2 linked regions of the Oryzias latipes genome follow. The protein of the gene in region 1 purifies or fractionates together with the protein of each later gene. This does not show direct contact. Links are inferred from orthologs where the notes say so. Each region holds a gene or a part of one and is shown on either strand. Other genes may lie near its edges.

What was found.
Region 2: the proteins of acaa2 (region 1) and pgd fractionate together in Homo sapiens (co-fractionation; 3 studies listed by BioGRID). This does not show direct contact. The link is inferred for Oryzias latipes from reciprocal best matches to the Homo sapiens genes ACAA2 and PGD.

What each region holds. Positions count from the first base shown.
Region 1 is NC_019867.2:6,251,172-6,254,852, reverse strand, and holds the end of acaa2 (3-ketoacyl-CoA thiolase, mitochondrial), read left to right. Parts: coding exon 1-95; intron 96-190; coding exon 191-338; intron 339-451; coding exon 452-627; intron 628-990; coding exon 991-1,120; intron 1,121-1,248; coding exon 1,249-1,319; intron 1,320-1,937; coding exon 1,938-2,092; intron 2,093-2,177; coding exon 2,178-2,259; 3' UTR 2,260-2,943; downstream 2,944-3,681. UniProt on the Homo sapiens protein: In the production of energy from fats, this is one of the enzymes that catalyzes the last step of the mitochondrial beta-oxidation pathway, an aerobic process breaking down fatty acids into acetyl-CoA.
Region 2 is NC_019865.2:9,837,247-9,841,625, forward strand, and holds the start of pgd (6-phosphogluconate dehydrogenase, decarboxylating), read right to left. Parts: upstream 3,083-4,379; 5' UTR 2,949-3,082; coding exon 2,941-2,948; intron 2,572-2,940; coding exon 2,496-2,571; intron 2,412-2,495; coding exon 2,232-2,411; intron 2,156-2,231; coding exon 2,090-2,155; intron 2,004-2,089; coding exon 1,885-2,003; intron 1,804-1,884; coding exon 1,734-1,803; intron 1,650-1,733; coding exon 1,515-1,649; intron 1,418-1,514; coding exon 1,228-1,417; intron 1-1,227. UniProt on the Homo sapiens protein: Catalyzes the oxidative decarboxylation of 6-phosphogluconate to ribulose 5-phosphate and CO(2), with concomitant reduction of NADP to NADPH.

The sequences.
Region 1 (3,681 bases):
AGGTGGTTTTGTGTGGAGGTTCAGAGAGCATGAGCCAGGCTCCCTATGCTGTTCGCAACATTCGCTTTGGAACAAAGTTTGGACTTGATCTTAAGGTTTGTCTTTGTATGTTGTCTCTGAAAACATGGGATGTGCAGAAAGAAAAAAACTTGCAGTTTAGAGGAAGACACTAAGATGAAATCTCTGACAGCTGGAGGACACCTTGTGGGCGGGTCTGACTGACCTGCATGTAAAGATACCAATGGGAATCACAGCAGAGAATCTGGCAGAAAAATACGAGATCACACGAGAGGACTGCGACAAATTTGCTTACCAGACGCAGCAAAGGTGGAAGGCAGGTGAGAAACTGCAACTTTTGATATCTTCCTTCCAGCGAAAAGTGCAAAAATATTTTGTCTTGGAGCGTATTTATCATGAATTTTAATTCTTGACGGTCAAACTCTGTTTACAGCTCACGAAGGGGGTCACTTCACAGCTGAAATTGCCCCCGTTGACATAAAAACAAAAAAAGGAAAGGTTCCCATGGCTCAGGATGAACACCCGCGGCCTCAAACCACACCAGAACAAATGGCCAAACTGCCGTCAGTCTTCAAAAAGGGGGGAACCGTCACTGCTGGAAATGCATCGGTCCGTTCGTGAACCCTCCGATTGTAACCTAATAGAAAAAACCCAAATAATTCTTTAATAACAGCATTTCCAGGCCTTTGGATGTTGTAAAAAATATGTTTATCTATATATTTTTAGCTCACAAAAAGCTCAAAGTTTTTTTTATTTTTTGCTCTGTATTTATTTTGAAAATATTACTTTTAGTGGTGACAAACATATGAATGAAATTAATCTGATTTTTGTGAAATGTAATAATAACCTGTCACTTCTACTTTACAAAAAATGGATGTAGGTTTAGTTCTAATAAAAGTAGGAGCAGACCTTTTTACTTCAGTAGCAAAAAAGAAATCAAATATCCCTAAATGTGAGTCTATTGCTCTCCAGGGGGTGTCTGATGGTGCTGCTGCTCTGGTGATTGCAAGTGATGATGCTCTGAAAGAACACAAGCTCACGCCGCTCGCCAGAATTGTGGCTTATCATGTGTCAGGCTGTGACCCGAGCATTATGGGTATCGGTAAGTGACACTGCTCCCAGAGAGATGTTATTTGAAGCCATCTGGGTTGATAGAAAGGAATGAACCTGAATAAACCTAAACATCTTTATATTAGAATGATAAATTTGGATTTCTTGGTGTCATTTCAGGTCCAGTCCCAGCGATTACAGGAGCTCTTAAGAAATCTGGTCTGTCTCTAAATGACATGGATCTGGTGGAGGTTAGTATTTTAAGATATGACAACAGGGTTAATTTTCTTTTTTAAATGTTTTTAATTAAAAATGGTAGCCTCTTCCTGATGTCAAAGGTGAACAAAACTTTGATTTTGGTTGTAGATTTGAACTAAATGCATGTAAATTTCACATGCACGCTGCATGTGAAATTTTTTGAAAATCGGTGAGAAAATGTGAAAATCTTCAGATCTCACACTTTACCACAACATGGCCACCAAGCAGCAGGTCCTGTTGCCATAACATAACAATTTTTAAACGTCCTTTGGATATTCGCGACACAAATGTGGGGGGTTTTTGAATATTTTTTTTTTTCCCTCATAAGAAAATTTTGGCCCCAGTCTTTTTGTTTTTGAAGGTTTCACTGGTTGCGATGTCATCATTGTAGGGGTTGATGACTTTCAATTTCATCAGATATTAGGTACATGCAAATTTTGGTGAGTTTGTGGCAGGGGCAAAATATTTGGCTCAATTGCTAAAATAATACTGTCCTTGCAATTAAGGACAGAATAAAGCGGTTAAAGTAAAGTGGTTACAGGGACACGCCATTTTCTGCCTTTGCTTTTAGTCATTGCATCTTCAGTTACGTGCTTGTGTGCTGCTTTCAGGTGAATGAAGCGTTTGCTCCCCAGTTTCTGGCTGTTTCAAAGGCTCTTGGGCTGGACCCAGAGAAAACCAATGTAAATGGCGGAGCTATTGCGATCGGGCATCCTCTCGGTGCCTCTGGAGCTCGCATCACTGGCCACCTTGTGCACGAACTCAGGTAAATATATGCTGCTATTGTTTGTGTGCATTGATATGTGTACAAGAAAAGGGTGCCACTACTCATCGGCCTTTGTTTGTCACAGGCGTAGAGGTGGAAAATACGCCGTTGGATCTGCCTGTATCGGTGGAGGTCAGGGCATCGCCATCATCCTCGAGAGGTGTTGACAGAAGAAACTGCCTTTGCTCATGGAATCTCCTGAAACAATGTCATGCAAACTCACCGGCTACTAATGTTCTAACAAGGAAAAACCTCTTGGTTCCAACCAAGAGAAGAAAAAATATTTGAATTGTTTCCCAGAGAGTCACTGACTGGATGAGCTCCAAAACGTGTTGCTATCATTTTCTTTAAGTACTCCTCTTCAGTCCAGTCGATAGATATAAATACAGGTTCATTTATGCATGTTAGCTAAAGTAATGACTCCAAATTGCCCTTTGGATTGAGAATGTTTTGCTTTTGTGTTCCTTGTGATGAACTCATGGCCTGAAGTGTGTATCGCACTTCTCACCTGCTAAAAACCTGAGATGACCTTTAGCAGGTTCCCATGACCCTCAATAGAATGAAGCTTGTCTAGAAAATCGTTAGATGGAAAATTTCACATCTTCAATCGTTCTCATAACTTGAGCTAATAAAGAAAATCAAGTTTCTGATTGTCATAATGATGGAAGAGGTTATTTCTGCTTACAAACATTGATTACTTCCTGATCATGATGGCAAGTAATATATTATCACAGACTGTTTGCCTTACTCGCTCCATGTTCAGGATTTGGTGTTGCCTTTAGTGGCTTTCTGTGGTAACTGATTTTGTACTTCAGTGTTAAAGTATCACAAATAAAATTTCTCAAAAATTACTTTTACTCGTTAATGTTTTTTTTTATTATTTTAATTGTACATATTTTAATTGTACAATCATATTTATTAGTTCAATTGTGTTCCTCCAGATTTATCTTCGTAGTACGGTGGCCCAGAACCGCCATTGCAGAAAAAAAAAGATGAGCAAAAAGAAAAAAGCAATTGCAAACAAAAAGAAAATGAAATGCAAATAAAAAATAAACGCTGCAAGTAATAACAGCCATGACAGCAAAAAATTTAAAAAAAAAGTGGTGCCAAAAAAAGAAAAAAAATGCAAACATAAAAAAAGCGATGCATCTACGAAAACGGTTGCAAATAAAAGGAAAGCCTTAGTGGAAGTGACATCGCCACGAAAGTAACGCCACAACAGATCTGGGGTCAGTTTGCTGTACGCACACCAGACGTCGATTGGCTTTTGCTACACACACTGCTGAGAGAAGGAGGAATACAGGAGTATGAATCGGAAGCTGAACAAGAAAGTGAAGTAAGTGAAAATGTTGGTGTTAAATGTTACTATGTGTAAATTTTTACTGCAAAAGCTTAGAGGCTTCTAAATGACTGTAAGAAGTAGCTAATTCATATGATTTACAGTAAAAAAGAAAGTCTTGAAGACTCTTTAGGAACCTGACATTTCTACAGCATGAGCTCCAGTTTACCAGGATGCATGGAAGGTTCACCCCTCAGAAGTACAACATCGAGAAAGACTTGCTGCATACATTAAACCCTTGTGCTATCCT
Region 2 (4,379 bases), on another chromosome or scaffold:
GCTGGAGGACGGTCCACAATGAAACAATGCGGCCTTTCATGAGGAGGTTGCTCAATCTGCAGCTTTGACAGGGACTAAACAGGCTAAATTCAATCAATTCAATTCCAGATTGAAGCTGTGAGCAGCGCTGTGTGGCGCTCCCCCCATTACCCCCCCCCCCCTTTTTTTAACCTGCCTTCACTGGCTGCTTTACACCCTTTTTAAAAACATTTTATTTTTTTAAATGGCTGATTTTCAGTTGGTTTTAGCTCCATAACAACTATTTTATTGTTTGGTTGCCTGGGGATGGCGAACAGGTCTGTGTAATTTTGTAAAGGATTGGCAAAAGTCAACTTTTGGATTTCCTTGTGTTAACCCCGCTGACAATCCTAATATATTCATATCGTTTTGTTCTGGTGGAGCAAACGATTCACTTATTCAATTTTCATAATATTCTGGCAAAAAGAAACAAACAACAGGGGAGCGCCGCTTTTGTATGCTCGCCATGTTAGGCTTAAATCTACAAACTCAAACTCAAAACCATAGATGATACTACATGTGATATATATATATCATTTTCAAAACTTCCTTTGGATATCCTGACACGTGTGTTTTGGTTCGTTACTTGATTTTAAGCATTTTTTCAGACCCATAAGATATTTTGGCTTATCAATTGCTTTTAATGAAGTTGTTCACCATGTCAAAAAATTTATTTTTGACGGGTAGTAAAAACATGGAAATTCTGGTACGTTTTTTAGGATGTGGTGAGGGCAAAATGTTTGCTCAAAGGCGCAGTTAGAAAGAAAAATTCCTAAAACAATCTGGTCTCTGCAGTCCAGAACTGCTGCGGGGCAATTATTATGTAAGAAAACATCTACAATAAACTTCATGTAAAGCTCTGGTGGACACATGTAACATGAGATGAACAATATTGTTGCTTCTTGTTTGTCCCACACAGAGACTGAAACCAAATCCTTCTTGCGTCACTTAAGATGAGCAGACTATCAGAAAAGCCTTCAATCTTCTTAGACGCTGCACTGAACTGATCACACCTCTGAGACCAAGCTTACCAGCTGCTTTGTTAGCTAACAACAAATCCAATCCCTGACTAACTGTGAAACCCAAACGGGCGTGACTTATTGTATTTGGGAATCTGGATCATAAATGCAGCTGTCACTGAAAGAAGACAGAAGAAAAAGAAAAAAAAAAAGCTACTTCCTTGTCTACAGCTGCATTCCTTCCTCTTACCAATCAAAGTGACGGGCGTGCCGTATTCCAGGGCAGAAATGGCCGTCCACTTCCCTGTTCCTTTCTGTCCGGCACTGTCTCTGATCTTCGGCAGCAGGTGTTTGCCATCGCTGTCCCTGTATTTGAGGATGTTTGCGGTGATCTCAATGAGGAAGGAGTCCAGCTCTGTCTTGTTCCAGCTCTCAAATGCCTGGTTGTGTTAACATTTGAAGATGAAATTCAGTTAGTCGCGCTGCTCCACTTGGATTTTTATTTTTTTTACCTTGGTGGAGGGGGGTCACACTCACCTGTCCCATCTCATCGTGATCCATCCCCAGAACATCCTTCATTAGGTGGTAGGCCTCACAGATCAGCTGCATGTCTCCATACTCAATGCCATTGTGGACCATTTTCACAAAATGCCCCGCACCCTCATCTCCAACCTGCCCCGGAATCAAACAGTCCTGAAACTTGTCGAGGTATCAAACTAGCCTTTTCATCAAAATCAGCAAAGCTTTAGCACTGACCCAGTCACAGCAAGGCTCTCCTGTCCCAACTTTAGCAGAAATGCTCTGGAAGATGTCCTTAATGTGGGGCCTTAAAGAATATACAAGTAGATAGTCAGACATGAAGTTATTCCAACCTTGTTTTTATTTCACACAATTATCCATGATGTACCAGGCCTCTTTATGTCCTCCTGGCATGAGTGAGGGTCCGTAACGTGCGCCCTCCTCGCCACCACTCACTCCACTGCCGACAAACAACAAGCCTTTCTCTTTTAGACTCTGACACCGCCGCTGGGTGACAAAAACAAAGCAAAACTGTGGAGACAACCTCAGGAAAAAGATTTTAAACACCAAACCGTGGCTCTCAAAAGGCTTACTGTTGTGTCTCTGTATTCAGAGTTGCCACCATCGATGATGATGTCGCCAGCATCCAGAAGTGGAACCTGAGAAATAAAAGAAATGTTTGAAATCTGCACATCTACACGTTTGGGTTTCCTAAAACTGGTACAACCCACTGACCAGCTTGTCTATGAAGTCGTCCACCGCTTGTCCAGCCTTGACCAGCAGGATGATCCTCCTGGGCTTCTTCAGCTTGGACACCATGTCTTCCAGGGACTCGGCTCCGACCACCTTGGAGCCTTTAGCCTCATTATTTAGGAAGTCGTGCACTTTGGACACGGTACGGTTGTAGGCGCAAACCTACAACAGAGATTTGACAGACTGAAAAGAAATCTTCTTTCTTCACCAAGGAAGATGGGAAAACATAGGAAGCCATGGTCTTACCACAAAACCATGGTCATTCATGTTCATGATGAGGTTCTGGCCCATGACAGCCAGGCCAATCAGAGCAATGTCAGCCCTGTGAAACCAGGAGCGAGCACGTTTACTGTCAGGACTCAAAACTCTGACTACAAAAGCGTTCTAAAGATTAGGCACACAGCCGTACATGCTAAAGTATTCATAATTGAATCTACTTTAAAAATGTACTTCATTTCCCAGAATCCATAGCGACTACATCGATATTTCTTTTTCTTAGGGGGGTTAAATGGAAATAGAATGAATTAACTATATACTTCGTTAAAAAACAATTTAGTTATGTAATAATAATACAACAAAGTTATTGTAGTTATAACTCCAGAGGCCTACAAACTGACAAACGGCCGTTTAAAACGCTACCACCCCCACGTCTATAGCATATATTCAAAATAGAAAACTCGAATAAACTTACTCAGCCATCGCGTTTGGGTGAAGAAACAGTCGATAAAATGTCTTAAACTGACAGTCAGACAGGTTATACGCTTAACACTCTTCTTCAGATTCGCTCTTCTTCCTGGTTCTTCTCCATCTAACTTCACTGAAAAGCCAAAGCACGCCCATCTCCCTCCAACTTCCAATCATAAAGCGCGTTGATTACCGATGCAACGTCGTTTGTAGCTTTTGATTGGTCAGAAACTCTGGGCAGAGAAATGGGTGGTTCCTATTGGTTGCTTTTGATGGTCACTCACGTTAGGTAATCCCACAGTGTACTCCCTGCCCCCGGTGTGGAAATTCGGTTAAAAACATTAAATAAATCAGGCTCCAAGTTACACACACAATGATAGTTTGAATCAATGGTTTTTTGACAATGAATTGCAACTAAATTAAGCTTTAACCGGCACATGGGAAGTCTTAACACACTCCTCATTTCCAATGGCCACCAAAGTAGTTTGTCTAATCCTGTCAAGTAAAATTCCCACCAGAAATTTTCTTCTACCTCTTGGGGATTCACGTCAGGTTACTGATGTTCACTCCAGTATGTCCCAGGATTTGCCCCCTATATAATCTTTTATGGAATGTGAGAAATTTCAGGGATCAATGTCCTTATAAAGCGTTGAAGTCCTGTTACATCAAATCTTTATCTAGAAAAATCTCTCTCTAGATAACACAAACAGTGAAATAGAAACACACCAAAATAAAAAAAAATGAAGCAAATTTGCCTATTGTTTAATGCAAAGTTAACTGAGCTGTAAAAAAAAGTTTGGGTTCGAAACCAACTGCAGGTATTATTTTTTTCTGTACATTTCATGTTTTTAAAATATAGCCGTCTTATTTAGAGTTAGCATTTAGTTGACAGTTGTACATCTATAAGCATTTGCTGCATCATGAATGCACGCACGAGAATACAAAACAAAATTAGAATTAAACCAACTTGTTTCCATTTCACCATCTTAATACGACCTACACATTTTCACTCTTAAAATAAAACTTTCAAACTGCAAGAAAATAGTCTGGAAAATGGGAGCAAAAGCCCAAATGAGGTGCGTGCTCTGAAGCCAAGTAGCTGCTTTATAAATACATGTATTAAAGTTGATCAATGTTGACGCTATTTATCACAAATCCTCTGGTGACCCATGTTACTTCTCATTAGTATGAGGAAACGAGGAGAATGAGTGTAAAGCAGAGTCTCTTAGGTATATTTGTCAAAGAACAGAAGAAAAAAAACACTGTAAAATGACAATTTAAAAAAAAATGTTCATGGCTTGTTTTAAAACAACTGTCAGTCCTTTAAATTATATCTGAAAATGTATTTAGAAAAAAATGAAAAAAGCTGTTTGGTTTGGTGTGCTCTGAAGCAGGAGCATCTAATGGACAGCAGGAAGCTGTAACTTGTCAAAACATGCTGGCATC